Daphnia pulex: one gene and its partners. The main gene of each other region encodes a partner of the protein of the gene in region 2 in a complex. Links are inferred from orthologs where the notes say so. Each region holds a gene or a part of one and is shown on either strand. Other genes may lie near its edges.

Region 1 (7,902 bases), on a different chromosome or scaffold from region 2:
ACTATACGCAAAAGCGATTAAAACTACAGAGGTTTCTGAAACAAATGAGAAAAAACAAGCACCGATCGAGGTGATCCACAGAAACATTTTCTATCAAGACGAAACAACAAAGCTGCACTGAGAGGAAGGGACAAAAGAAGGAGTACGAGATGGGTTAGAACGAGTTAATCGAACAGCTGAAGATAGCTTGTAACGCACAGTATGATCAAGATCTGATGAAGTTAGTAAATTAAGAGTTGATTTGCCGAGAAATAGGGTGGAGGAGGAGAAGGGGCACTCGTCCACCCCTCAGGGTGAATTCACTTGATGCATACTTGGATCATAACCCATCGATGAATCGCCATAGCCCTACAAACACGTTTACATTAATTAATATGCTGAGATACCACTAGTTAAGTCATTAAAAGTAGTTTACTTGGCCGCCCATGGAGGAAGGAAAGTCACCACCGTTGAGTCCCATAGCACCGTACGGGCCTAAGGAATCTTGTGGACCCCTGAGTTCAGGACCACCAGGTTGAGGCGACATCATCGGTCCGGGAGTTCCAGCCATACTGTATGGCGAGGAACCTAACGAGAAAGAAAAAGTACGAAAATTAGAATCGCTCCGGTAATACGAGGATTTGAAAATCCTCAGAGTGGAAACAACTACCCGCGGCCTTTTTAGCAGCATACAGGTTGGCCTCCTCTTGGGCTTTTCCAATGTTTTTCTTGTAACGAATTCGTTTGTTACCGAACCAATTCGAAACCTTTTTTGTAAAAATAACAAAACATTAATGCGCTTATTCCTCTTAAAAGGATTTAAAAAGAAATTAACCTGTGAAACGGTGATCCCACATTTACGAGCGAGCTCTTCTTTGGCTTCTTCACTTGGGTAGGGGTTGCTTAGGTGCGAGTAGAAGTACTCATTCAAGATCTCAGAAGCTTGTTTGCTGAAGTTACGCCGCTTCCTCCTACATGATGAAGACATCGATAGAACAACACCTTTAATGGGCGTGGTCAAACCTTAAAAAAATAGCAAAATTTACCTGGCGTCGAGGAAACGAGATCGTAAAATCATAACGGCCTCGCAAGTGCTTTGCTTCAGCTGCATTTGGATGGAGCTAAACTTGCGATGAATGATCTGAACCATCCGCTCAATCTCCTTGGGTGTAATCGGACGAGTACGGGATTGTTCTCGGAGCAAATTCATAACATGGGTGGTGAATTCACTGCAAGCCTGAAAGCGGATGTAAAAATGAAATGGTTATTCTCCATTTTCTTGTCATAGAGGTCCAATAAAAAAATAAGCATTGCTAAAAATGTGTACCTGCTCATATTTCTCAAGCTCTTGATGGTAAATTTGACGAATTTGTGCCAACTTAGCCCTATAATCAGAGTGTTCAATAGCCGAGTCCGACATTGAGCCGCTTTGAGACGCTGCAGCTGATGCATTGGCAGCAGCACCGGCCCCACCTCCTTTTTCAGGACCAGCTACTCCTTCAGCAATCAACATGTTATCCAACCGCATGAGTTGCGGATCTGGAGGCTCCTCTTCTTGCGTGTTGCGTAGCGACAAAACTAAAGTGAGAGCACAATTTAATGTTACCATTCAATCACTTGGATTCATATTGAAATAGGGTTACCAGTTTTCTCTTTGATTTCACACAAGACAGAAAACAAAGCAGGTTTCATGCGATGACAGTTCAGGGTATGCTTGCGTGCTTGGGCTTCATCAAGACTCTGGTCTGTGATGTTCATGATCTGTTGCAGAATTTCTCCAATATCCTAAAAAAAAAGAAGTTTTACTTAAAAGGAAAAAAAGATTTTGGAAATGGAATTGTACACACCTGCTTTCGTCCAGTCATATTTTCAGAGTCTTGGTTCCCTCCATCAAGTGAAGCCATGTTAACCCCAACATTGACTCCGACATTGACAGGAGGTAACCCATACGGTGGCTGATGCATTAGTCCAACCTGGCCACCTGGAACAGGATGCATAAGTCGATTTGGATCATCCATCAAAAGCAATGAAATCTTCCAATGTCACTGCACAAAACGTATTGCCTTCAGGCTACAGGACCTGGCAATAAAGACCCTGTAAACAATGACTTTCCGTTTACTAACATCCATACATGTGATTTCATGAAATGTAAACATAAAATGAAATGTACTAGACACAACAAAGCACTAGTATTGCAAGAAAGCAATCGTAAATAACAAAAATTGGCTTCGGTTAATATAAAAATGCCAACGTCTTATAAAATGCCCAAGGCGACAAGCGTCCGCCATGGAAGAGAAGTTTGCTTGCGTAGCGTATTTCTTTCAATTAGAATAAAAACTTTCTTTACTGACTTGACACACAATTTGAAACCGGGAATTCACGAGTTGTTTAGTATTCAAACAGACTGAATCACATTTCTCAAAGGCTCATAAAATAATTACCAGAGATCGCCGAGATTATCGACGGGACAAAGCAAAAAAGACGCGAGAACGCGATCACAAAGGTAAGTATCGATAATTATATCGGGTAAGCCAATAATCGATGTACTAGAAACTCGCGATACTGTATTTATTTTTTATTTTGAATTTTATTAATTAAAATTTTATTTTTACAAATGAAAACGCAACAAGAGTAAAAATATAATGATGTTTGATGTTAAAATGTATTAATTTGACTTTAACCTCTATGAAGATAAATACATTTAAGTTACATAAGAGGCATTTTCTTGATAAATCGTCGATGCCACAAAAATGCTGTGATAATTGATAATGAATACCACGTTAAAATGTACGAAACGTGTTCATTTCTAACAGTAACAACTGTTTGTCCACCTACAGGTCCATCCGGTACTGTGCTATCAGCGTCCGCGTCAAAGAAAATTGGCGCAGTGTCTAGAAGCCGAGCCATTCCCTCCACATCTCTGTACGCAATATATATGAAGTTATCTAACTTTGCGAAAAATATAATTGTCTTTACCTGAAATGAAACATGCGGTCTTTGGGCTGATTTTGGGGTACAAACTGGGGGCGATTTTCATTAGAGCGGTACACTCCAATCAGTTTTGTTTCGCCTTCTCTTTGTCCATTTAGTCTGGTGAATGGATTCATTTTTTTACGAGGAATCCATCCGCGGTTTACAAGAACTGTGAGACTAAAAGTAACTTGTAGAAAATTGAGAAAATTAACTGTTTGAATGTCTTACTTGGAATCTGATAGTTTAAATGGAGTGATGACTAAATAGCCACTCTGCCCTGAAGACAACATCCCACCACCTTCATTTTTTTCATTTCCAACCAGTGATCTTGGCCCAATGTAAATCTCTTTGTCATGTTCAAATTTTCCATGGAGTTCAAACTTCCGGTATTCCATGTCAGATAGCCCTTCAATACTGTAGAGCATTGGTGTAAATATGCATAAAAGGGTAGAGTTAAAGAATTGTATCAGTCTCACTCTGTAGACTGAAATGGAATTGGTGGTGCAGACGTTCTGCTGGCAAGATGATCAATAACACCAAGTTTCCACTGACGTCTGAAAATCTGCCAGGTCCCAAGGCCGAAAGTGATGGCTGGAATAGCCTACATTTATTGGATCAATTTTTTGTTAAAGAACTATATGTACGTTTTATTTTTAAAATCGATTATCTTACCAATAACGAATAACCGTGAATTCCGATATCTACAGCATTTCTTTGCCCATAGCTTGAGGCTGATCGTCTTACGTAATTTTGTGTACATGTCTGAATAGTAGCAGAAAATGAATGTTGAAAAACACAGTTTTGAAGCTATAAACCAAATTACCTTAATTCTTCTAATTTTCTGAAAATGCCTTAAACTGAGCATTGTAATCAATTTCAATTTAATCTCTTTAGGAAAAGAAAAGGTCTTCACAAAAAAAGTGCAGAAGAGTTTTTGAATAACACTTGAACGATCAGAGACACCTAGCGCATTTTCAGATAAACCTATGGTGAATTGTCAGCTACCTGCGTTAGCAAGGTACCCGAAGGGATATTTGCGATTTTTTTTTCATTTAAAAAAAGAGATCAAAATAGCGTATGACCTACAAAAGTCTAAAAAAAGCTACATTATATTAAATCTAAAAATAGCCTTTTCAATAAGGTTTTGTTCAATTTTAAATACAGAGTCCGTGCTTAAGCAGCATCACACTTTGGTCTCTGAATTTAGAATTCAAACAAGTCAACTGTCAACACTCACAATAACACATCGTCTTTGCTTGTGAAAAAAATAGCAACCCGAAAGAATTTAAGTATTTTACCGATTTTACCCGGAAGTTTTCTTCACCTTTCGTGGTGCCGTGGTTGACCAGGGCGTCGTCTAGGTTTTGTCAACGACATTACCTATTTCTCCTCGCTGGTCGACTGTTGAGTAGAAATTGGGAATTGTCAGTTGTCATCGATAGTCATAGGATTTTCTTCGATTATTACTTGGAAGTCGCATTTAGGATTAGTGCGCCTTCCTCGACACGGAGGTCTTTTCTCCTCTGACACATCGCTCACCGATTCTGCTGATCGTTTTCGATGGGATGAATCCTTTGATCGGCTGTTATATGTCTGAACAACCAGTTCAGATTGCCATTTGTTTTTTCTTCGGTTTTGAATGTGGTTGAAGCGCGTTGAAAGCTTGGCAAACTCGTGACTTTACCGTCCATTCTTCACTGGGATTTTCACGTGAATAAAGAGGCCGGAGAGTGATGAGGTCTAAGTTCCGTTTTTCTTGTCCACAAGGCCTCATGAAATTCAGTTCTTCAGATAAATCTAAATTAGAAATAAAATAATCATTGGACACAAAATAATGCACGTTCGTGGAAAAAGAACCCTATAAATGTTACACACTAAAATCCCCTTAACCTAAACCGAGGGTCGAAGACTAAACAGAAGGTCGGGCCTATTGGCCCCCAGATTTCGGGAAGAAACGTCAAGACATCTATATTCATATCTATTACTTGCTGTGTTCATAATCATACCATACAATAAAAAATTTGTTTGTGTAGTAGTCCTACTATAAATAAATTTTCCTTTTGTCTCACCCAAAGTTTGTTTTACTGCTTAACATACACAGAATTGTTTACTACTAAGAAATAATTAAGTTATATATGCTGTGCTTACAACTTACAAGTTAATTCTGTAATTATTTACTCTAAGAAACTTTGTCGTGCAATACAAAATATTGTTACCTTTACTTCTACTTCTGGATATTGTTACCTTCCATTCCATTCCAGATTCCAGATTCCATTCCATTCCAGATTCCATTCCATTCCATTCCAGATTCCAGATTCCATTCCAGATTCCATTCCAGATTCCAGATTCCATTCCAGATTCCAGATTCCATTACATTCCAGATTCCATTCCATTCCAGATTCCATTCCATTCCAGATTCCGTTCCATTCCAGATTCCATTCCATTCCAGATTCCATTCCATTCCAGATTCCATTCCATTCCAGATTCCATTCCATTCCAGATTCCATTCCAGATTCCATTCCAGATTCCAGATTCCATTCCATTCCAGATTCCATTCCATTCCAGATTCCATTCCATTCCAGATTCCATTCCATTCCAGATTCCATTCCAGATTCCATTCCAGATTCCATTCCATTCCAGATTCCAGATTCCATTCCAGATTCCAGATTCCATTCCAGATTCCATTCCAGATTCCAGATTCCATTCCATTCCATTCCATTCCATTCCAGATTCCATTCCCTTCCAGATTCCATTCCATTCCAGATTCCATTCCATTCCAGATTCCATTCCATTCCAGATTCCATTCCTACTAACTCCTCCTCCTCAACCTCCTCAACCTCCTCCTCCTCATTCTTCTCCTCCTCAAACTCCTCCTCCTCAACCTCCTCCTCCTCAAACTTCTCCTCCTCATTCTCCTCCTCCTCAACCTCCTCACTTCCTCCTCAACCTCCTCCTCCTCATTCTCCTCCTCCTCAACCTCCTCAACCTCCTCAACCTCCTCCTCCTCATTCTCCTCCCCCTCAACCTCCTCAACCTCCTCCTCCCCATTCTCCTCCTCCTCAATCTCCTCCTCCTCAAACTCCTCCTCCTCATTCTCCTCCACCTCAACCTCCTCCTCCTAATTCTCCTCCTCCTCAACCTCCTCAACCTCCTCCTCCTCATTCTCCTCCTCCTCAACCTCCTCCTCCTCATTCTCCTCCTCCTCAACCTCCTCCTCCTCATTCTCCTCCTCCTCAATCTCCTCCTCCTCCTCCTCCTCAATCTCCTCCTCCTCATTCTTCTCCTCCTCAAACTCCTCCTCCTCATTCTCCTCCACCTCAACCTCCTCCTCCTAATTCTCCTCCTCCTCAACCTCCTCCTCCTCAAACTCCAGATTCCATTCCATCCCAGATTCCATTCCATTCCAGATTCCATTCCATTCCAGATTCCATTCCATTCCAGATTCCATTCCATTCCAGATTCCATTCCATTCCATTCCAGATTCCATTCCATTCCAGATTCCATTCCATTCCAGATTCCATTCCATTCCAGATTCCATTCCATTCCAGATTCCATTCCATTCCAGATTCCATTCCATTCCAGATTCCATTCCATTCCAGATTCCATTCCATTCCAGATTCCATTCCATTCCAGATTCCATTCCATTCCAGATTCCATTCCATTCCAGATTCCATTCCATTCCAGATTCCATTCCATTCCAGATTCCATTCCATTCCAGATTCCATTCCATTCCAGATTCCATTCCACATTCCATTCCATTCCATTCAACATTCCATTCCACATTCCATTCCATTCCATTCCACATTCCATTCCACATTCCATTCCATTCCATTCCATTCCACATTCCATTCCATGCCAGATTCCATTCCATTCCAGATTCCATTCCTTTCCAGATTCCATTCCATTCCAGATTCCATTCCAGATTCCATTCCAGATTCCATTCCAGATTCCATTCCATTCCAGATTCCATTCCATTCCAGATTCCATTCCATTCCAGATTCCTTCCAGATTCCATTCCAGATTCCATTCCAGATTCCATTCCAGATTCCATTCCAGATTCCATTCCATTCCAGATTCCATTCCATTCCAGATTCCATTCCATTCCAGATTCCATTCCATTCCAGATTCCATTCCATTCCAGATTCCATTCCATTCCAGATTCCTTCCAGATTCCATTCCATTCCAGATTCCATTCCATTCCAGATTCCATTCAATTCCAAATTCCATTCCATTCCAGATTCCATTCCAGATTCCATTCCATTCCACATTCCATTCCATTCCACATTCCATTCCATTCCAGATTCCATTCCATTCCAGATTCCATTCCATTCCAGATTCCATTCCATTTCAGATTCCTTCCAGATTCCATTCCATTCCAGATTCCATTCCATTCCAGATTCCTTCCAGATTCCATTCCATTCCAGATTCCATTCCATTCCAGATTCCATTCCTTTCCAGATTCCATTCCGTTCCAGATTCCATTCCATTCCAGATTCCATTCCATTCCATTCCATTCCATTCCATTCCATTCCACATTCCATTCCACATTCCATTCCACATTCCATTCCACATTCCATTTCATGCCAGATTCCATTCCATTCCAGATTCCATTCCATTCCAGATTCCATTCCATTCCAGATTCCATTCCATTCCAGATTCCATTCCATTCCAGATTCCATTCCATTCCAGATTCCATTCCATTCCAGATTCCATTCCATTCCAGATTCCATTCCATTCCAGATTCCATTCCATTCCAGATTCCAGATTCCATTCCATTCCAGATTCCATTCCAGATTCCATTCCAGATTCCATTCCATTCCAGATTCCATTCCATTCCAGATTCCATTCCAGATTCCATTCCAGATTCCATTCCATTCCAGATTCCATTCCATTCCAGATTCCATTCCATTCCAGATTCCATTCCATTTCAGATTCCATTCCATTCCAGAT
Region 2 (7,868 bases):
AGGAGTTGTCGATGAAGCGTTGCCCAAGGCAGGTGACAAGGTGGTACCTGACGGGCGAGGTTGAATTGGTTGAGATCGCTGCCGAGTCAATTGTGGTGCAGTCTGTCGTGGAGGTATTTGAAGATATGTTGTTGTAGTTTGGGACCTTTGTCTCAACTCAGCCAATTCAGTCTCACTTATGCTTTTTTGTGTCCTTTGAACCAAAAAACTGCTACAATCGATATGAAACCATCTCGTATACCAACAATACATACTTGGGGAGGATGGGCTGAAATGTATGAATAATAGGAGAGGCACGTTCGTTTTCAACACCGCCTGTGGCATCTTTGTCACCTTCTTTTCGCGTCACGCAATCTTGGCGCATCAAAGTACGCGTTCTTTTCTGCTTGGAAAGAGGTAGACCACAGGACGCGCCATTTTCCATCATAGCGGTGGCAGTATCCAGAGAACCAGTTGAACAAATTGGCTATACAATGAAGAAACAAATAAGCTTTCATAGTAGTTAAAATTAGAAAAAATAGCAACTCACTGGTTTAGAATCGTTTTCTCTAGGGAAAAAATATTCGTTGTCAACATTAGATTCTACGGAACTTTGCCCCGCAAGACTGCTTTGTGATTTGATGACCGAGTTGCTATCTAAACTACTTGACGATCTATGATACAAGAGTTACATGTCAGAAATAATCAACAAATTCTGATAAGTGGAGTAAATTAACCTCATAGATGAGTCTGTAGCTTCCTTGCTACTCTGAAAGTTTTGTCTCTTTAACAGCGGTGAATGAGACGATAGTTGCTCTTGAGACCCAGATTTCATTTGGCTGCTTCCTGATCCATTTCTTTGGCGTTTACGTTTGGCAGCCAAGGAACAATCGTCCAGAAACTCTTGTGAATGTTCTGAATGCTGTCGACTTTCAGACAGATTTTCTAGCGGCTGATTTTGTTGGGTCAGAAGTGCCGCACTAAACGATTCTTTATCTGCTACGTCAGCGAATCCCTTGACATGTAGAACCTCTGCAGTCTGTTAAAAATTGTGAGAAATATGACAGTTAAATAAACATTTTTGAACAAACAAACATCATATTAGTCATATTAGTAGAATTACGAAGAGTATTTGTTTAGCCTGATTTCTTCACTGTAAATTTCAAGCAAAAGTTAAAAAATCACAATTAACAGCATCAAAAACTTTTTATCCAGAAATTAATATAAATTTCTCTCTATATTGTTAAAGAATTAATCACTCACAAAACAAATGTTTGAATTTACCTTTAGAATTGAATTCAGTTGATCGTGTTGTATGTTTACTTCTCCATAATACATAAAATGAATGACGGTGTGAAGGTCTTCAAATTTGATGTCTTTAAGTAAGACAATTGGATGCTGGCATGGATGTGAAACAAAGAGCTCCTAAAGTAATAAGCAAAAATGTAGTTAAGAAATTGCAGTATTCACACACATGAAACTTAATATACCTGAAAATAAGTGCTGCAAGCTGACAATACAACACGATGAGCCTGGATTTGTTTTCCATCACAAGCCAGTGTGACATCCACAAGGGATTCTGTATTCAACAACTGAGAAAAAACACTGACAAAATTTGGCGAGTGGTTTTTCCAGTGTAAACGAAATAACTGTTGTGAAGTCATTCTTGATTACGAAATTAAGTTCGAAGCACACGGGGAAACTATTCCAAACCAACATGTGTCAATGATACTTCTTAGCTTCTACGCACGCTTAAAATGGGCTTGTTATTACAGCAGCTATATCAACTTCTCCAAAAAGTGAATCCCGAATCCCGATATTCCAAAGCAAATCTCGTTTCAAGGTCTTGCGTATGCCCCGCCTGCTTTCATTGCGTCATAGAAAAACCATGCGTAATGCATAGACCACCGCGGCATTGATTTCCATTTCCCCTGAGGTGCTGCTGGCTGGTCCTGTGGTGCATAGTATCCGACTACCCGTGCTGCCGTAGTATACTACCCCACAAATTTGCCCTTTTGCGCCGCTTCGAGCTCTGTTTGTGTGCTGTTTAGTTTACTCGATTAGTCATATAATTTCTATTATGTCACACACTCACACGCGAAAACTTATTCGAAATTGTATTACGTGTACTGATTGGATTATATTTATGTAACCCATGTTAAACTTAATTTAATTAGCAAAATTCGGTGATTTGGATTTTATGGATGCGAAAAACGAGCAATGATTTAAAGAACAGCCATATTTTGAAATCTGGCATCCTGCAAGGGCGTTGCATCTGACTGTTTTTTTTCCTTCTTTATTCGTTTGTTTTCTCTTTTTAATCAAAAGTTTTAGACGTTTTATTGACGGAATTCCACCAAAACTGTAGAAAATATAAACACTTCTTCGCATTCAGCGGAGATGGATTTCAGCACAAAGTTTTTAGCGGCTATATTTTACTTCGTTCTATTGCTCCACTTTGGTAAGTTGTATCCCTCTCAAGTCATGTTTCAAATACATATGCCAACTATTGGGGGGATTAATTAATTTATGTAATTATTTTTGTTAGGTGATTCCCTCGAATGTTATGTATGCACCACACAAAATGGAAATACGGAAAAGTGTCTCAGAACAATTAGAACTTGTGAACCTGGGGAAGACTATTGTTTAACCACAATTGCATGGGGAAGTAAGTTACCCTTCATATGATTATGTGTGATTGAAACAGGATTTCATTCACAACTGGGATTTTTATTATCTTACTCCAATAACATATGCTCATTTTTGTCACTAGGCCACCCATATTGGACTATTAATGCTGACAAACAGTATTATGTCTCAAAACAGTGTGCTACAAAGAGTTTCTGTGAGAAGACTTGGAATGAAACACTTCCTTATTGTGAAAGAATTTGGTATCTGGACTGGAGATGTTCAGAATGCTGTCAGGGTGATCGTTGCAACTACTTTGTTACGGTACAACTTCAAGTTTTTTATATGAGTAATCAGTTATACATATAATTCTTTTTTATTACAGTTGACAGGATCTTCATTGAGTTCCAGTTTAAACCTCATTTTTATTGGTGTATTAGCAATTGTTGCCTATAAGTTTATAGGACGCTCATAATGGTAGTTTTTCCAATGACACATTTTTTGTGAAAGTGCATCTTAAATATGTAAAACCATACCGTCCATCGCATCTTCTGACTGAAGAATTCCAGCCAATGAGAGTTTTAAAAATACACACAATTTACAAGTAAATGATTTATTTATTACCAATTTTTTCTCTGAAGCTACTTAAAATTCCTGAAAGTTCAATTCATGTTTTCTGTTATCAATTAAAAAAATCTTTTCTTTGGGATAATTTTCTGTCTCTGCCACCAAGTATTTGTATTCGAATTTTCCGTCTTTTTTTTCCATGACCGCATGAACTGTGGCTTGGTTGCGTATCCCTTTGACATAGAACCTAAGGAAAAAAGAAATGGAAATGATGATTAAATATTTTTCTATCAGCAAGCAAAACATTTTGTGAGTACCTGATTTGTAGGTGTTCTATACCATCCTTTATGTACAAGCTATGCCTGAATATGTTAGAATTTAATTAATTAAAGTACAAGTTTAAAATTAAATTCAGAATTATAATAAGTATTGTTGTTGAATAATACTTAACCTGAGATTAGTACGGCCTCTCCGCCCAGACCCATCACAGAATCCAGTTATTGGTTCTCCAAGCAAATCTTTCATTCTGGGATACTCTGTACATTTTTTTAAAGCATCTGAATATACTGATTGAGGGCTTTCGCTCCAGAAAAGTTCTTTAAACACAGCAAAAAGAAGGGCACCAGTTGCAAGGAAGCCTAATACAACAATTCCAGTGTACCAGACAGTTTTACCAGCATCTTTAACTGAAAAAAAGTAGAAAGTTATACACAACCATATTTTATTGATCTCGACTAGTGATAAAAATACCTTTGGCTCCTAAAGGAACGCCGACTTGATCATTCTTTGAAGTTGGCTGCACAGACTTAACCGGTGTCGTTCCTCTTTTCTCAGCTCCGCAAAGGTTTTGGTGAACATAGAGGCAACGGTAAGTTTGTCCCCTAATACTAGGGCTAACTCTAGATTGCAAAAATAAACGGAAATTTTGGTACAACATTTATTGCAAATTTTACTGCACAGTTCATAAGACAATTGGCTCTTTGAAGTTATTTCTTAGGGGCACAGTGTTGATGTTTATTTTCCTTTTGCCATGGAAACAACGTTGCCGCTGTAAAAAAAAGATGGTTTATCCCGCAGTCCCCCCGCTTCAAAATTTTATAAAGTATATAAACAAAACGTCGCTAAGGAAACTGAACTTCTAAAAAATGATAACTTTACAAAATAAACTACAAAAAATGTTAGTACACGATGATATTTAATATTTTATTCAAAAGAATTGCTACGCACGCACTAGAGACACTAACAGAAGCTGAGAAGCATCTCCGCATCGTCCAACAGGTTCAACTGCTTCATTTAGTATTTAGAATCTGAAATACCAAATAGAATTTGAAAAATACAACAGAATGTTTCGGTGGGGGAAAAATACAGCTTCCATGGCGACAAATTGAAAAAAAAAATACGTTTGATACACTTTTACTATTATTTTAAAGGTCATCAGGATTTCAACCTCCAGAGAAAAGTTACAGCTGCTTAGAACATGGGACCAAATAAAAGATGGTCAATACTTACAAAACACATATTTAATGCTTTTTTTAAAGCCAATAGTATATCCAAACAAACTTTAAATTCCCTATCATGACTTATTCTGTTAGTCGTGTAGCCGACTTTTTTCTGCGTGATGTTGCTTGTCATTTCTCAGTCTTTTTGGGAATGAATCTGGTATAAATCGGCAAGTCCCAAGGAATGAGACATCATTCTGTAAACGATACGGCAGCGATTACACTTAAAAAATGTCTAGACTTCTGCGAGGAAATCAATTACAGATTGCTATCACCACGTTTATGTTGTTTTATCCTTTATCTTCAAATTCGATTATCCGGAATGGACTGAGCGGAGCATACTTTCGAGTGTCCGCTCATCATGTAAGTTTCAAATAAAAGAATTTTCCATAAATTTGAATGTGGAAGTTTGGAAAATTTTAACTAAATTGCACAACTTTATCCCTCATTTGCAGTTCCCTCCTTATCAACTTTTGATTTATGGAGCTAATGGAACCTTTCGTTATGTTGGAAGCACTCCCAATATAATCTACTGGATGGCAGAAAAATTTAATTTTACGTAAGATATCATTCTAAACTATCGCTGTAAATGGCGGGCAACAAATCTTTCCCCGTCTATCTCGCTCTAGGTATGATTTATTCCCGGTAAACAACACCGAGATTGCTAAATTGGGAACCGTTCTAGCAGGTCTAAATCAAATCATCAATAAAGTAAGTAAGCCACATCCCTGTATATTTTAACAGTGGATGCTTTGCAAATCGTAAATGTTTCAATTTACTTAGGAAGTCGATATTTCCACTCTCTGCTTTCTTCCCACATTGGAAAGGTTAACTATATCGGACCAGTATCGGTAGTGGAAATTTATTTAACTAACTTAATTTGCAAATTTTTAATTCCGTAGAACTCAGTATATGGAATTTTCATATCCGGTAGCAATCGAATCCTATAAATTTATGGTCCCTAAACCAGATGAGGAAAGCCGACTCTGGGGTCCGATCAGACCTTTTCAGTATTCGGTAAGTAAGCTATATAGCTGTTTTCAAATTATTTCTTTTTCCCACATCGAATATTGAGATTTTGAAAATTGCAGGTTTGGGGTTGCATACTATTGAGTATCGTGTTTGTACTGGCGGCTTTCTCATATTTGTCTTGGTGCTACTCTCATTGGCCTAATTTACCAAATAATGAATTTTATGGTGCAAAGAAGAACATGTTTACCATCTTCGGTAGTTACGCGATGTACATTGCTTCTGTCTGTACAAATCAAGGTATTCATTGCTGAATACAGCACTTAATAGATAAAACTAGAAAGAATGTGACACTCTGCCCTGGTTACCTAACTATTATTACATAGGACTGAACATTAATGTCCGTCAAACTTCATTTCGTGTTATGGCCGGGATGTGGTTATTGGCGGCCACGGTACTAGTCAACTGCTACTCCGGAACTCTTATGTCTTCATTAACTTTGACAAAATTCAAGCCTACCGTGAATTCTTTGGAAGATTTAGCGGCCAGTCAGGATTTGACTATGACAGCCAGCGCCAACAGTGTCATGGCTAATACGGTTCTTGTAAATGGCAGCATTGACCTATTAAAAGAATTTGAATAATTAGTAAAGGAATATTTTTGTTATACTTTACAGAACACCACTTCCGCTACGTTGAAAGCCATAGGAGACGCAATGCGCAGAAAACCAGAAAGCATTTACCCCACACCAGAAAAGGGCGTGTCCAACATCTTTTCTTTGAAGTACGTTTTCCCTACAGTAAGTTTCTCCTTCTCAATTCGAAACAATTTTTTTTTTATTTTGAATTATATTCTTTAGTATTGTTTGCTTTCTACAGGTCGAATCATACATAGCTTACTTGATCAACATCGATCTAAAACAAAGCAAGAAATGTAGATTTCACGTAACCGGTCGTATTCCAATATCAGAGGGGGCTTTCACTCTTGGATTACAGAAAGGCAACAAACTCAATCAACTATTTAGCGAGAAGTACTACAATTGATTAGCACACTTATACAACTGATCTAAATGATGGACGAAATTAATTTTTTAGGCTTCAGCTTCTTTGGGAGACTGGTTTAATGATTAATTGGCTAAAAAATAATCTACCATACGTAGACAAGTGCCTGGCGAATAGTAAGGAATCAGCCCGTCAGAAACCCATAAAGCTCGTTGATTTGACCAGCGCGTTCTTCATTCTTGGTATCGGGGTTTCCTTGGCACTGTTAAGTTTCTTAATGGAAGTTTTCTACTTTCGTTTTTGAAGTCAGTTAACTATGGTGGTGTCGGGAGCCATAATTTACGAGAACGAGCTTATGAGAGTATTCGAGGAAAGAAATAGTTATTGTAATAGTCATTCTGGTATGATTTTAATGCCAGATAGGAAAGCATAAGTATTATAGTCAATCTATAGCTATGTTATAGTAGTAGGAGTGTACACAATTTATCCAATTACAAGTTATACGAGGAGATGACGTTGCAGTGGTCCCTCTCGAAGTCTCGGTCATAAAATTTTCCAGTTGCACTTTGCTTTTAGTGTTGAAAATTAAGTTTTTTTTAAATTTGAAAATCATTCAGCAATCTTAATTTTGAAACACAGGTTTTTCAATAAATAATCATTACATTGCTGTTCCTCCAATAAAACCAGAATATTTAAAATTACAAGCAAGAATATTATTGCAAAGTTAACTATAAACTACAATGATATCCAATGATAACACCGAAACAGAAATAAGCACGAAACAGCTAAAAAAGACTTTAATGGAATAATGAAATTGTGTCTATTATCTCTACCATGTTTTCTAATATTAACACGATCGTTTTTCACATACACCTGTGATTTTCTTACAGGAACAACATTGGATTGATTTACTCACAAACAACCTATGTGATGTTTTAAAAATTCAACATTTTTTTAACTTTAACCTTTAAAAGCAAAGAGCAAATAGAAAATTTTGTATTTAGGCCTACCATGTTTTCTGATATCACTGATATCTCCATTATTACTTTCCATATATAGATTGTGAACACAGAAATACTTCAACAATACATTTAATCACTTAAAATTGTGTTTTACCTTCAGCTGAATTTCGAAAAATTATCATTCCGTTTTGTTTGTAATCTTAAACACACAAACTTCGTCTCTCTCTTTTTGAAACTTGTAAACATAACGAAAGCAGACGACA
Region 3 (6,868 bases), on a different chromosome or scaffold from region 2:
CATGTCTCCTATATGGCGTGATATCATCTGCATATCAGAGGTCTCAAAGAAGATGGGTAGAACAGCTTAAACCGAGACAGCATTTTATTTATCACTAAGGGAGGATTTGCGATTTGGTTTCGTCAACTAAGATGGAATCTCCATTCTTATTTATGAAATTTACCCGTCAAATTCACCACTTTTATTTGATAAAGATGAGATATGTTTTACGATTGAGGGCAGTCGATAATTACACAATCAATTGAATATGTCCTTAGTACTGTTTTGGTTTAGAAGTTGTTGTGTTATAACAACAGAGAGAACAGGCATGAAAGAAAAACACAATCAATCGGTAGTTAAATTTCAAAAAAATGGGTCGAGAATCACAATGACGATAATCAAGATTAGTTTTCATCCGACCCTTCGGAGTCTTCCGACTCTGTACATGGCACAGAGTCCAATGGATCTTTCAATTCAACGGCGGTCGTGTTCTCCGAGTCTTCATTGTCCCACTGCGTCGGTTCCGGCATTTCCATCGCCTTGTTCCGCAAGGCTTTCTGCAAATATAATAAATAAAACGAAACCCAGTTAGTTGCGGCCTTTAACACAAAAATGGCAGACAAATGACATTCTGTTAGTATAAATGTTCCGTGTAAAGTTATATGGATTCGCATTCGACGGGAGGGTGGGTGTTTTCATTCCACAATCAAAATCGGCAGAAAAGAGTCGCCTAAACATTTAAGAAGGTCGTTGGATGGCTCATTTGATGGCTCTGTTGGTGTTTCTGTCGACTCCGCATTTTGGTGGTCCGGAGAGCTTTCGTCATTATCTTCTTCACCATCATCATCTTCATTCAAATTTAGCGGCTTCCCGTTGACTGACACGATGTTGGGTTTCCTGCCACCGTAACGCTTGAAGAAATCTGCTTGGTTCTTCCTACGTTCGACCTTCAACTGTTCCACAGCTTCTTGTTTATCTCGTTCGATTTGAGCCAGATCAACAACCAGCTGGACACCCTTCGTCGATTCGTCCCACCAACCGTAAAGCCATTGGCCTCCATTCTTTTCGCTTACCTTATGATCGTTTTCGGCCATCTTGTTGAAAATGCTAGAGTACAATTTCTTGTCCTTTTCGCGTTGCTCGCGAATCTTGGCGTTGCAGATCACCACTTGATTGGCGGCCGCCTTGTTGTTTCAATCAAGTTGGAGAATCGCCTCGAAATGTTTCTTGGCGTCCTCCAGCTCGTGGATGCCCAAAAGTGCCTACAAATGGAGAGACAAAATCTGTGAGTAATAAATCAGAACAAATTGCTGGTCAATTGGTACGGATACCTGGCCATGCGGAATAAACCCTTTTCATTTTTCGGGTCCATCTCGAGCGCCTTGTGGCAATGATCACGAGTTGCACAGAAATCATTTAACTTTAAACAGCACATGGACTGATTGAGATGTGCTGCCAGCATGAGCTGTTCTCGTTCCGTAGCTTTCTCGTCTTTAAGAGCTGAAATAAAAACGAAAAGTTTTATTTTTTTACAAAATGAAATCAAATTGTTGCGAAAAGCAAAACTTACTTTTTTCAAACTCGAGGAGGGTGACAATCTTGGAGTAGGCCTACTGTTTGTTAGCCAGAGCGTATTTGGTAGTTTTAAAATGATTGATTCCTTTTCCTTTGCAGAGTTTAGCCTGCTCCAGCTTTTTCTTCGGCGTCCATGCTCCAACTCTCTTTGGCCTTTTCAAAGCTCTTGACTCGAGTTCAACATTCGAGGTTGACGTTGGGAAACACCTTGTTTCTCGTAACCGGCAGAGCCGAAACCGTATGCAGGTGACAACTTAAGCAAGCTCCAATCTTGCTTCTTGAATTTCAACAGAGCCTATTCAACACCGTTGGGAATGTTGTGTTCTAAATCTTCTCCAAGGTTGAAGCTTAACTCAAGTTGATCATCAAATACCGTGTCTCCGTGTCGACCGAGCAGTAAAACTAGAACAATTAAAAGGGAGAAAAAGTAAACTATTGTTTAATTTTCACTTTAAATAATTCAGTCAAGGAAGCATACCTTCAGCAACAAGCACCTTTTCATTATAGGATTTGAATGACTTTAAGGTTTGATTTATAATTCCTCCATCACTTGCTTTGGTGAGATCTTCTATCTTTCAACCTAAAGACAAATATAAATTACAGAATTTATATAAAAATGAACAGTGTGGATCTAACCATACCTCAAACATCAGCAATTGGCATTTGAGATGAATTTTTAGGTGGACTTCCATTTTCACCGTAAGCATAATTGGATTAACAAGACAAGACTGCACACTTCAATGGTATTTACTCCAGTAAGGTCTTGCATGTCTTTTTTACACTACCTGTAGAGAATTACATTTAAAAATGTCAATAAAAAAGACATGAAAATTCCAATGAAAAAGACATGACGAAGAACTATCACTTGTCAACAACACGGCCGGCTGCTGGTACTAGGCGCGGCCCTTCCCCGTAGTACCCAAGGCACAGGCAGTGACTTCAAAAACAAAAGACTGCTGTGAGGCGCGATCCTTTTCCAGTGTCCCCCTAGCGGCAGGGGCCAATAGCAATTTTGGCTATTGGCCCCCGAAATCCGGGGGCCAATAGATTTTTCCTTAAATATTTGTCACTCGATGATAACAAAAAAAACTAACGTTTATTGGAGAACTTTACAGTAAACACTAGGTGACGTTGACATAGGTATGATTCAAACAACCTAAAATTCAGTTGCTAGTCCAGCTAGTAAGTTTTTCTCTTGAGGTGAATGCACAATATGCCAAAGCTAGAGCAAGACCACCTGCTCCACCTTTCATGCAGCTTTTCAGACCTGAAGTTGATTTATATAATAAACCAGTAGCAGTGGCAGCAGCTAATGTATTGATTTCATCCTCAGTATCCCTTATCCAGTTAAGGCCAACTCCAAAAGCACTGTACATCACAGCAACAACACCAAGAGTATTTGCTGTTCCAGCTCCTTGCTTCATAACATAGTTGATCAATCTGAAATTTAAATATTTCATCAATAGGTTAAATACATGGATAAGATATTGAATAAGTACTGTGTTCTTCGAAGCTTTCCAGTGTGACCGGCTACTGCTGTGTCTTTGATTCCTCTCACAAGACCAGTAACACCTCCAATACCTCCACCGATCATGCACATCCCACCTATCGAAGAAAATGCTAATTCAAAACGTCCTCTATGGCGACTAGCTCCTTCGGGAAAGATGAATTCTGGTTGACTACTCTGCAAGTATGATGGATCGAAGTTCAGATACGGTGAAAGGGGGGCCAAGTTTCTGTTAGAATACACTGAAAATTCGATATTTTAAATTATGACAAAAGTGATAAATACTAAAATTTAACTTCTAATCTACCTGATGAGTTTAAGTCATTCTGTCCTGGGTCCATTTTTATGAAAAATTACTTCAAAATGGTTAGAAAATATTATGAAACCAGCACCGGCCGGACCTGTCGTTTGGGAAACGTGGATCGTCTGCAAGAATCAACTTCTCTGTTGCCAGATTATTTTTTAACAACTACCGTTTCGGCGTTTCCCCCCCCCCCCCAAAAAAAAAAAAAAAAAAAAAAAAATATATAAAAAACATTAGATCGATAAACAACCAGATAAACTCTTTAGTATTAAACTACTACTGGATCATCGGAAACATACGTAAGGTGAAAAAACAGCGCAATAATTACGCAATAGCTCAAGATTTTACTTTTAACCTTTGTGAGCATTTTTGGGGAAAAGAAAATGAAAGTAAAGTATGTAAGTATCGCATATTTGGGATTTAAACTTGAAACTGCTTGAAACCCCCTTCTTCGTTATTAGGGAACGGAAAAAAAACCAGGTAGCTACATTTTAAACCTAAAGTTTCGTAGACTAAAGGGAGAGTAGTACTAAAAAAGTTTCCCAAGAGAGGATGAAATAAAGCCAAGACAGTGTACCCACAGAAAGCGACACGAACAGAAGCAGGTCATCCATGCTCCCTACAATAAGCTGGACGACTTGACAACGGAGACCAATTTTTTAAGTGTTCAACAGTCGTCGCCGAATATTCAGTGGTCTCACAACGCAGTATTGATTTAGGAGGAAAACAAACTAAAATATGATTCTCATCATAGTCTTGTCTCTTTTGCAAGCAATTGTTGCGCTTGTTTCCAATTCCACAGGATCAAACGAATTATTTGTTCTAGATGGGCATCCGCGTGGCAGAAGGGCTGTGCTCGTGAACAGTGACCCCAACGAACCTTGTCGAATCTACGGCCATAGGTACGTGTTAACCTTCACGATTCCAACCCTCACAACGCCTCAAGGGAAAGTTCTTTTTTTAGTAACCCCATACAGGTTATTGAAAATCTACCGGACGGTCCAAGACTCCGAACAATCAATCAACAAGAATGGTTGACAATTGCCGCTGATTGTCAACAGCGTTTGCTCACTCTCAATCAGAAGCCGACCACTGCCAACAATCAGATAGATTTCATTTACCCAGGTAAACAAAATGAAAAAAAAAAATACATTATTAGTCCAATTGAATTTCAAATAACAGTTCGTTTGATACCCAAACAGGCACCAAATGGTGTGGAACAGGAGACGTTGCGAATAATTTTAAAGATCTAGGACCACATGCCGCCACAGACATGTGTTGTCGAGATCACGATTTTTGTCAAGACACTATGAAGCCTGGAACTTGCAAATATGGTTTGTGCAACACCTCAGTCTTCACTAAGTACGTTTTCCTACAGTAAATGTTTTGTTCACTGTAGTTCTAATAAAAATCCAAACTTTTCTTTAAAGGTCCCATTGCGATTGCGACGACCGATTTCGTCAATGCTTGCTAAATGCGGCGAATGACCCAGCTAGTGTTCCAGTGGGTTTCATCTATTTTGACGTTGGTTTTATAAGCTGTTATCGCCAGACACCTGACTGCGTCAATAAAGTATTCAGGTAAGATGCGCAATTTTGTCCGAAAGACAACTTTTGAGAGACCTAATGAAATTGAAATAATCACGCAGGGAACCAATAGAACTAACTAGGCGGAAGAAACGACAAAATCAATCGAGAACCAGAAATTTGCAAAATGGATGGTGTTTTATCCCGCCTCAACCGTTTAAAAAATCGGCAATGGTCCGTAGAAACCAACCTGACGGTATATTCCGGCACGTCCTGTCAACTATGAGTGATGTTTCAACAATGGTGAAACAAGTGGCTGGATCTACCTTGTCTGTGCAGTCTGGAAAATGAGGGGCATACGGAATGTAAAGCCTTTACTGAATTGGCTGTAAAATGTTCTACCTGAAAAACCCTGTCGAATAAAACAAAAGCAATACAACTATCGATCGGCTCATTAGTTTTTACTTTAGGGAATTTTTAATCCTTTGACCTGATAAATTTTATGGCATGAGCCGCCATCTCGTCTTTCTGGATTTCTAGACAGATACTAAATGAAAATCTAGAAACGATTTTAACAGTCAGTAAGGACAACACTTCAAGGCCAATGACAAAGCTTTGTCAATAATAAGTTGTAACCACCAGCATCAATCAACACAGATAATACAAAATCAATAATTTTTACTAAATTTAAAATGCAATTAGTACTTGAGCGCTCTTGCGATGTTACAAAGAGCAAGACTGGCATCATTCTTTGGAAACTCGCTCAACATTTGTAATGCTGCGTCGACGTGTGTGTCGCGCACAGCTTGAAAATTTGATATCACTTCTTCGAAAGGAGTTCCTGGTGGGAAGAGTTTGAACAGGACATGATCCGCCTTTTCTTTGGCGTTCTTGTAGCTTTGTATTTCATTGTTAGCCTAATAAAAAAATCATTAAAAAATTTAACCACCAAGTCTGATCGTACAGAAATAAAGCAGTTTTTACCTGCCAAGCCAAGGCGATTTCAAGCCCAAAATATTTACCGAATTCAACAAGTTCTACGTTATCCCCTAGAATTAGAGATGACTGACATGCATGGGCTAATAACGTCCCATACCTAAAAATTAAAGCGTCTTTTTAGTTATAATCTGGTCAAACTAGTCATTAAGTATTCATGCCTTAGTTTTGATTGATGCCTCCATCTATCGAGAGCACTGTCTGTTTCATTTGCCACTATGTCAATGAATTCTGCAGTACTGAAGTCTGATATTGCCTGAGCAATTAGCTCTACAACCTGTTTGTGGAATATTAATTTAAAAGAGTGTTTAAATTTTTATAGAGTTCAAAGTACAAGATTGAAATACTATAGTCTACCTTAAGATTTTGTAGATTAGCAAGTAGTACACAAGAACGGGCCAATAAAAAATCCCCACATAACACTGCCATTTTGTTCCCCATTTCTAGACTCTCATTTGGTGTGTTAAGGTTGATGACTCCTGTATGAATCAAGTGAGCTGCATGAACCAAATCTGTGATCTCTCCAAGTGTTCTCTGTTTTGGCAGAATGTCTTGAGTTTGATCAATTTTTGCAGCCTTGGATACAAGCAAAACCAATAATCCTCTGGTCTGATTTGTTTTGTCTTGCGAATACACTAAATTTCTGCAAGACAAATTTATAAAATAATTAATAAGAATCCAGCGGTATAACAAGAAAGGTAATCTACTTGGCAGTGGCAAGCAGAGGATGTCCAGTCCCAATTAGTTTTTTTAAGTAAACGGCAATGTTAGATATTTCATCAATGGCTTCGCTTCGTAAACTAAGGAAGGGCGTAGGCAAGCCCACTATTTTCTCTGCATTGGAAACTGCTTGTACCCAATTATTTTGACAAATCTGAGAACTCGCACATAACCTTCTTGAAATGGTAACATTGACGGGATTGGTGGAACGAATACAACCAGACTGAAGAGTTTTCCAGCAAATCAAACCATTTCTAGACA
Region 4 (7,859 bases), on a different chromosome or scaffold from region 2:
TAGCGAACTTTTTATTTGAATAATTGAATATATATGATCTTCGATTGAAAATCCCCATCGCAGTTGACCTCATTTCTTGCCAAAAAAATTAAAAAACGTAGTGTAACTTGGCCCTTCTTTGCCGTCAATGTGCGAGGTGACATCATACTTCATGCGAGGATCGGCTCCCGAATTGCTGCTGGGGTGTATGGTGACCTTTGTGTGAGCTTCTACTTGTTTTCCTGGGTGATACTTTTCGGTAGTTCTAATGAATTTCCTGGTTTCAAATTCATTTTCTTTGTAAGCACCTCTGTTGAAATTTGGGGATGATAGGAAAAGATTATCTTTGTCTTTTCCCGATCCTCCAAGCATGTTAGCAAAGACATGACTAACATCACTGCCTCTGCCTGCTCCCATCTGTCTTTTCTCTTCACTGGATATGGAAACTTTTGATCCGTGACCGAAATTTTCCGATCGAATAACAGTAGATCTTGTGCGAACTCCGTCTTTGTCCTCAGCCGTAATTTTTAAAGACTTTCCATTCGACATTCTTGTTATTGTTACGAACTGGGCAACTGGCAATCTAACAAGCAAAATAACTTTACTTTTTCGTTATAAAGAAATTGGTTTGCCTCGGAACAATCGAAAAAAATACTTACAATTTAGAGAACTGAGTAATCGTGTCGAAACGGCTCAAGCAAAGAAACGGGTCTGAGACGAGTGACAAAATCTTCCCGTCTTTAAAGGGAAGCTGTCTGACACATGCCAGACGTCTATTTATAAACAAGAAACAACGTATTGAACTTGAACCGCCAATAAAAGGTTGAACTCGACTCTCGAACCGCCAAAAAGAAAATTTCTAGTCTGCTTGGAAAAATCGATTCTCTTAAACATCGATTATCAGACAGCAGAGTGAAAAAAAAACAAAAAGTTTTCGTTTCAAAACGCAGGCTTAGTGTTTACAGTTTTTCTTTTTATTCTTAATAGTCTTAATAGTCGCCTCAATGGAAGTTCAGACAAATAGTCACGACATACTTTCGGCCTCGTCGATAACGGCTGATTTCCAAGAACCTAACGATTGGACATATTCGATGAGAAGGGAAATGCAAGAAATTGTCAAAGGATTGTTCCTTGGGCCCTACTCGGTTGCAGTTCGATCCAAAGTATATGGTTTGCATAGATCTTTTATTCTTGCATTAGCCAATGTAATAAGTATAACAACATTACCTTCTTATTTTTTTAAACCCCAGGAGAACTATCTTGAGACTCACGGAATCACTCATATCGTTTGTGTTAGACAAGACATTGAATCTCACATGATCAAAACACATTTTGTTGATAAATTCCAGTAAATTAAATTATTCCAAACAAGGAACAAATTGTATGGACTTATTTGTATTGCACTTTTTCCTCAGATACCTGGTTGTCAACGTGAAAGATTCAGTCACAGAAAATATCATTCAGCACTTCCAAAAAGTTAAAACTTTCTTGGATAGCTGTTTTTCTGCAGGAGGCAAAGCTCTTATTCACGGTAATGCTGGCATATCTCGAAGTGCTGCCATTGTTCTGGGCTTTCTTATGCAAAAATACTGCCTTGACTACAGGTATATTTCTCAACATTCATTCATATATAAGCAGTAAAGCATGACATTCTTTTCAAGCTCTGATCTAATTTTTTTATTTATTTACAGAGAGGCTTTCAGTTTAGTGCAACAGAGAAGGTTTTGCATTAATCCCAATGAAGGTAGGTATTTTTTTAAATTGTTGCATCTCAGTTCATTAGAATAATAGTCTCACATAGCTCAAACTCTCTTAATAGGATTTGTTCAACAGTTAAAGGAATATGAACCTATCTACAAAGCAAACTGGAGTGTAACAAACAATGGTCAGTGCTCAAGGGAGCAAAGCACTTGGAAACGGAAGCGAGACAGTATCGAAAATGACGATGCTATGGACGAGTGACGCGTTATCCGACATGAGAATCAATAAAAACGTTTTGCGTATGCTGCACAATTTTTTCTTGACTGTTCCTTGAAGGAATAAAACAAGTGATTTTCAAATGGTTTGCAATCTTTTTAAGTCGATTACCGGTCCAAAGCTTTAATCCATTTATTTGACGACTAATAATTCAATGCAGTCTAGGAATATCAATCCAGCACCTAATATTTTACCTAAATACTCCCATACGATACGGTATTTAAGTTTCTATCTTCAATTGTATTGCAACAACTAATCTAAGTGTAAATTACCGTCGAAGCATTTTATTTAGTCCAACGAAGGTAAAGTATTTGTTTAAACTATTGCGATTGAGTTCACTGGAATATTTACAGATTCTATTCAACACTTGAAGGAATGTGAACCCATCTACCGCGCAAACTGAAGTGTAACAATTGCTCAAAAGAGTAAAGAACTTGAAAACGACCGAGACAGTAGGTATCGACGACGCTTTATATGGACGGTTGACATCCTGTATAAAATATGGGACAAAATGTTTTCCCGTTCTTGGCTGTGCCTCGACCCAATGATAAGAGTATTTTTTTTTCTTTCAGAAACTTTCGATCGGTGATTTATTCGAATTAATATACTAGAAACGAGACTTGCTGAATCAAAATCGCCGACCAAATAGACCACGGGCAACAGATGTAGCTGGTAGAATTTGTTTCTCTTGATTCATTCGTTCCATCAGTTCCTGTTGTTCCTGCACAGCAACAAAATTGGGTAAAAACAAATTTAAGAATTGGATGATGGATTTACACTTACTTGAAGTTTCCGTTGATTTTCCCGAAATGCTTCGATAGGATCGTCGAATTGGTTGTAGAAATCCAGCACTTCTCGCACATCTTGGACTTCTGACGTAGCAATTGCTATTCACCAGTAAAATGCGTTACTTCATTAGTATTTTTTTCATACTATTTCTTAGAAGGACATTTACTTTTCAATAGTAGAGCCAAGTCGACAAGGGTCCTGTCATCATCGTTACCCTTCCATTCTTTAATTCTAAGTGCATTACGAGGATGCGATTTGACTGACTGGGTGTTCCAATCGAGGACAATCACTTTTGATGGATCGCGATTGATGCAGTCAAGATCTTTCACGTGATGACCATCAACATACCGAGTAGCGTCGCGGAAGAGTCGGTACATGATGTAACCGTTGGGATCCAAGGCGTCTAATATGGGAAAGGCCGTCTAAAGAGGTAAAGAAATTTAATTATTTTGTACCGAGAACGTGAAATTTAAAAATGGTACTTACAAAGGCTTGTTCAGCCGTGTAGACAACCACTTCAAATGCGGGTGGACCCACTTGTGCCAAAAAAAAATCTATTCCTGGCCTCTTCTTAAACCTCCAACCAGTTTGATACTGAAATTAAGAGAGAGAGCAAATGATTATGATGTTTCATTTGAAATGCATACAGTTCAACTGATTAATTACTGTCCAATCTGGGTGGACTAGAACACCAGTCATTTCCAAGATTAATGTGTAAGGAGGCTGATAATATGGCTCTTTCAGAGGATCAGGTAAAAGTTTATCTCTTGAAGGGTCTCTAATCATCTGAAAAGAAAGCCAAAAACAATATTAAAATTAATTGAAATGTTTTAAAAATCTGACAGTCAGAGATGCTTACTTGACTATAGTTCATTATGGCATTCCATGACCTAAGGATATATTGTAGTGCCAGAGGTTTTGAGCTGAATTGGTCTTCTATCACATTGCCCTCTTCATCTCTCTCTGGTGCTCCCCATGTGCCAACAATGTAACCACTTAGGCCGCTTAGTGTTACTCCAAAGAAAATAAGTGTGTATTTCATAGTTCTCCAACTAGCCTCTGCTTCCTTTTTCTTTTTGGCTTCTTCATCTTCTTCACTGTTGTTTTGTTGTTGTTGGCCAGGTGGAGAAGACTTCAGCTTTCCTTCGGTTTCATTTTGGGACTTTAAAACCTCTCCTGCAATTCCCATACCTTGAAATGAACCTAATATTGGACTAGCTGCAGCCGGTTTGTTCGCCGTCGTCGTCTGTGTCTCGTTGCTGCTGTCGGACTTTTGGCTGTAACACCTAAACTGTAAGTGCCTGGTAGCTAAGAGAATGTTACTTATTTGCTTTGGTTGACACAGCACATTTTGGGGAATTGTCACTAGTCTGTGAAAATTTCCACAAGTCAATTTTGTACCACTTATTTGAGATAACTTTACGAAACTCGTGACATATCTGGAGGCAGCCATTTTTCTTGATATTTTTAATTTTCTCAAGAATCTTCTGCAACATTTGTGTAGTTGTCAGATTGCTTCTTTATTCCAACCGTCGGGTAAAAAAATTCAAAAATCCAAAATCTATTTCCTAATTCCTATGGGTCTGTAAAATCTAAACGCGGTATATTGCGATTACGATTGTGAGTGCAGGATGCTGAGAACAAGAGATTTTGCATTCATATTTTCATGCCTTATTTTTGAATGGCCTTGCATTATTGCCGCCGCGATACTTCTTCGTCTCAAATGGAAAATGTTAAAAGTGTTCAGCTGTAGAAGGTAACATTTTATCGGTTTTATTTACATTCGGATTTCATACTTGACTGAATTATCTTGGTATAGTTAAAGTTAACCTTGTAGTTTCGTTTTCGACATTTTCAATAACGTTTTATTAGTGAGTGTGTCGGGGTCTCTAATGCTACTTGATATCACCGCGATGCAATCGGTTACATGTGATATGAATGCAAAGAATGCGCAAATGCAGGATTAATTTGTTGATAACATACAACTTATCGAGGATCAACAACCTCTTTATTGCCGCTATCGTGTAAAGTCCTCTTTAATAATTGCTCTCTCATCTCAGTGAAGCTCATTCTTTCCAGACTTGTAGTGAAATTTCATACCGTTCCTTGACTTTTCCCAGACGGTAACGTCGACCGATCCTTTTGTGAAAAGCCAAGTATGAGTTAATCCAAGACTTCTAATCTGAAGTCCAAATATTGCTACATACGATGTTATTGCTTCATCTTGTGTGATTGTTTTTAAGGTTCGACCTTCGTCAAAACTACTTATCACTGCATGTCAGTTTGTTGTGTACGTACCTTAAAACTAGTTCAATGCTGGTGAAACGGGTGCACTTGAATTTAAGATTCTAAGGTAGTCTATAGTTTCTCATGACTGAGTCCAAACACGTTCGGCCATGATTGGTAAGTTGTTTTCAAAATGCCGCTTTTTTTGTATTTAATTTTTACACATGAAATTCTCTAATTTAATGCTAAAACTTTGTTAAATAAGTAAACCATTTTTATTTCTTTTACCCATATAGAGGAAAATCAACTGGCTGTAACGTCTGCAAGTGGCGTCGTTTTTGCGATTCCTCCGGGTCATCCAGGCTGGATAGAATCAACATTTTGCAAGCGAGAATGCTCCAGATACGTTTGCAGCTCCGACAAAGGCCCACTGTGTACTTGCGGCCGAACGTGGACGTATCACAAGACTCACGGAATCAAAAATGTTGGCGTGTCGGAAGAAGTTTGGTCCCCTGCCCATCATACTGTCAGCAGCCCAACCGACTCTTATGGCACCATCGATTTCTTGGGCGGCCCACATCCCAATAAAGCTCAATTCATCCGGCTGGGCTTTGATTCAGGCACCGACCATATTTTTCAACTGCTGACCCGTGAATGGGGACTTGAATTACCTAAACTTGTCATCTCCGTACACGGTGGCAAAGTTAATTTTAAACTTAATCCACGACTCAAGCTCGTCTTCAAAGAGGGACTCCTTCGAGCAGCTAAAACTACGGGTACTAATTAACATTAGATGACTAACGAAGCTTTCACCTCATTTCCACTTCCGACAGGTGCATGGATCTTGACGGGTGGGACCAGTACGGGAGTGACTCATCATGTCGGCGATGCTTTGATATCAGAACGTTCTCCTCGATTACGAAGTGGCCGTGTCGTCAGTATCGGCGTCGCTCCCTGGGGTGTGGTGGAAAATCGAGCTTCACTGATCGGCCGGAAGAAGGATGTCGCCTATCAATCGATCGATCATCCGCGTTCCAAATTCGCTGCTCTCAACAATCGACACTCGTATTTTCTACTGGCTGACAACGGAACTGTGGGTCAGTTTTAATTGTTCATTTATCCGTGGATTGGTCATATTCAACTGTTTTCTCCAGGTCGTTATGGAGCGGAGATCGCCCTGCGGAGGAAACTGGAGAAATACATATCCAGCCAACGGCTTCCGGCTCGAACTAATTGTTCTATTCCTGTTGTCTGTTTGGTCGTTGAGGGCGGAATGGACACTATCAGGACCGTGCTGGAATACGTAACGGATTCGCCACCTGTTCCAGTAGTTGTGGTGGAAGGCTCAGGCCGGGCAGCTAATCTGATTTCCTTTGCGCACAAATACGCCAAAGAGATGGAGGAATCATCGACTGCTTTGGACGGAATACGAGAACAACTGCTGGCTGAAATCCAGAAAACATTCAATATCAGTCAGTCTCAGACGAATAAATTGCTTGCCGAACTTCTACAGTGCGTCGAAAATGTGGATCTCATCACCATTTTCAAACCGTCAGAGACCTCGGAATCAAAGTCACTGAATCAGCTGGATCGTGCCATTCTTTGTGCACTTTTCCGTGCCCGTTACTTGACAGCTGCCGAACAACTTAGTTTGGCTTTGGCTTGGAATCGAGTCGACATTGCCCGTTCCGAGATCTTCATTTACGGCCAAGAGTGGGCCGATGGAGCCCTGGAAGAAGCCATGATGGAAGCCTTGGCGAGAAATCGCGTGGACTTTGTAAAGTTGCTGCTGGAAATGGGTGTGCAAATGGCCAAATTCTTAACCATCCATCGATTGGAAGAACTTTATAATTCCAAACAAGGTCCAGCCAATACGCTGAGGTACATCGTTCGTGACGTCCGTCCACATTTGCCTCGCAACTATTCTTACAGTCTTATCGATATCGGCTTGGTCGTCAACAAGCTGATGGGCGGTGCTTATCGTTGCTCCTACACCCGACGGAAATTCCGTCACAGCTACACCGACATGATGAAAAATTTCACTAAAGAAACTCCGAGTCGCAATGTTCTAAACCATGGATTAAGGTAAGGATTGATAATGTCAAGTCTATGATTATCGATATCTTCACTAATCATAAAACGCTGTTCTTTGTTATCCAGTCAGTATATTGAATCCGGCCACCTGAGCCTCATTGAAGACCTTCAATATCATGTTGAGCCATCACACAATATGTTTACTCAGCCATTCAACGAACTTTTGGTTTGGTCCGTGTTGACCAAACGCCAAGATATGGCCAAGTTGATGTGGCACCATGGAGAAGAATCGTTGGCTAAAGCTCTGGTGGCCAGCAAACTCTACCAAGCCATGGCGATTGAAGCAGCTGATGACGATTTAGAAGTGGAAATTAGCGACGAGTTGCGCAGTTATGCGGCCGAATTTGATCGCGAGGCTCTCGAGTTGCTCGACTATTGTTACCGTCAAGATGACGACCTCGCCATGCAATTGCTGACCTGCGAATTGTCCAACTGGTCCCGGCAAACTTGCCTGAGGTTGGCGTTTGCGTGTAATCACCGAGAATTGCTGGCCCATCCAGGTTCTCAGTTGATTCTGGGTGATTTGTGGCTGGGCGGATTGCGGACTCGTCGCTCAACCAACTTGAAAATTGTTCTGGCCATCATCTGTCCACCACTGATCCTTCAATTGGAATTCAAATCGAAAGAAGAGCTCCAACTGATGCCGCAAACTGAAGAGGAGCACATGATCGACTTGAAAGACGAAGGCGATCCTTCTGAAATGAATCACCATTCTTCGTCCTGTAGCTCTTCACCGATCGTTTCCACGCAAACCGATCACATCAAAGCCAACAAAGCGAAACGTGCCAATACGT

What was found.
Region 1: mitochondrial import inner membrane translocase subunit Tim21-like (region 2) and surfeit locus protein 1-like share a complex: the UniProt entries of both Homo sapiens proteins name them as parts of the MITRAC (mitochondrial translation regulation assembly intermediate of cytochrome c oxidase complex) complex. The link is inferred for Daphnia pulex from reciprocal best matches to the Homo sapiens genes TIMM21 and SURF1.
Region 3: mitochondrial import inner membrane translocase subunit Tim21-like (region 2) and mitochondrial import inner membrane translocase subunit Tim23-like share a complex: the UniProt entries of both Homo sapiens proteins name them as parts of the TIM23 complex. The link is inferred for Daphnia pulex from reciprocal best matches to the Homo sapiens genes TIMM21 and TIMM23.
Region 4: mitochondrial import inner membrane translocase subunit Tim21-like (region 2) and mitochondrial import inner membrane translocase subunit TIM50-C-like share a complex: the UniProt entries of both Homo sapiens proteins name them as parts of the TIM23 complex. The link is inferred for Daphnia pulex from reciprocal best matches to the Homo sapiens genes TIMM21 and TIMM50.

What each region holds. Positions count from the first base shown.
Region 1 is NC_060023.1:11,352,031-11,359,932, reverse strand, and holds surfeit locus protein 1-like, read right to left. Parts: upstream 4,501-7,902; 5' UTR 3,818-4,500; coding exon 3,776-3,817; intron 3,715-3,775; coding exon 3,625-3,714; intron 3,554-3,624; coding exon 3,429-3,553; intron 3,367-3,428; coding exon 3,181-3,366; intron 3,130-3,180; coding exon 2,956-3,129; intron 2,900-2,955; coding exon 2,686-2,899; 3' UTR 2,622-2,685; downstream 1-2,621. Other genes in the region: homeobox protein extradenticle-like, read right to left, coding at 289-348, 416-567, 647-746, 815-950, 1,026-1,216, 1,307-1,557, 1,623-1,764, 1,827-1,997. UniProt on the Homo sapiens protein: Component of the MITRAC (mitochondrial translation regulation assembly intermediate of cytochrome c oxidase complex) complex, that regulates cytochrome c oxidase assembly.
Region 2 is NC_060020.1:2,277,881-2,285,748, forward strand, and holds mitochondrial import inner membrane translocase subunit Tim21-like, read right to left. Parts: upstream 4,764-7,868; 5' UTR 4,112-4,763; coding exon 3,925-4,111; intron 3,861-3,924; coding exon 3,626-3,860; intron 3,537-3,625; coding exon 3,492-3,536; intron 3,422-3,491; coding exon 3,253-3,421; 3' UTR 3,083-3,252; downstream 1-3,082. Other genes in the region: protein abrupt-like, read right to left, coding at 1-193, 255-466, 530-653, 717-1,018, 1,264-1,404, 1,470-1,643; uncharacterized protein LOC124192913, read left to right, coding at 2,380-2,440, 2,528-2,647, 2,753-2,931, 2,993-3,082; glutamate receptor ionotropic, delta-1-like, read left to right, coding at 4,905-5,036, 5,129-5,232, 5,303-5,384, 5,457-5,500, 5,576-5,690, 5,765-5,956; uncharacterized protein LOC124192910, read left to right, coding at 6,067-6,246, 6,319-6,441, 6,521-6,672, 6,737-6,947. UniProt on the Homo sapiens protein: Participates in the translocation of transit peptide-containing proteins across the mitochondrial inner membrane.
Region 3 is NC_060025.1:1,869,277-1,876,144, reverse strand, and holds mitochondrial import inner membrane translocase subunit Tim23-like, read right to left. Parts: upstream 3,527-6,868; 5' UTR 3,403-3,526; coding exon 3,369-3,402; intron 3,304-3,368; coding exon 3,054-3,303; intron 2,995-3,053; coding exon 2,718-2,994; 3' UTR 2,632-2,717; downstream 1-2,631. Other genes in the region: phospholipase A2-like, read left to right, coding at 4,104-4,267, 4,330-4,490, 4,568-4,727, 4,796-4,945, 5,014-5,242; all trans-polyprenyl-diphosphate synthase PDSS2-like, read right to left, coding at 5,590-5,808, 5,876-5,987, 6,049-6,164, 6,245-6,530, 6,595-6,868. UniProt on the Homo sapiens protein: Essential component of the TIM23 complex, a complex that mediates the translocation of transit peptide-containing proteins across the mitochondrial inner membrane.
Region 4 is NC_060024.1:13,318,280-13,326,138, forward strand, and holds mitochondrial import inner membrane translocase subunit TIM50-C-like, read right to left. Parts: upstream 4,243-7,859; 5' UTR 4,199-4,242; coding exon 3,605-4,198; intron 3,532-3,604; coding exon 3,412-3,531; intron 3,340-3,411; coding exon 3,232-3,339; intron 3,168-3,231; coding exon 2,912-3,167; intron 2,844-2,911; coding exon 2,740-2,843; intron 2,678-2,739; coding exon 2,585-2,677; 3' UTR 2,530-2,584; downstream 1-2,529. Other genes in the region: serine/threonine/tyrosine-interacting protein B-like, read left to right, coding at 984-1,142, 1,230-1,327, 1,395-1,583, 1,671-1,723, 1,799-1,941; transient receptor potential cation channel trpm-like, read left to right, coding at 5,142-5,148, 5,268-5,747, 5,805-6,068, 6,126-7,056, 7,132-7,859. UniProt on the Homo sapiens protein: Essential component of the TIM23 complex, a complex that mediates the translocation of transit peptide-containing proteins across the mitochondrial inner membrane. Has some phosphatase activity in vitro; however such activity may not be relevant in vivo.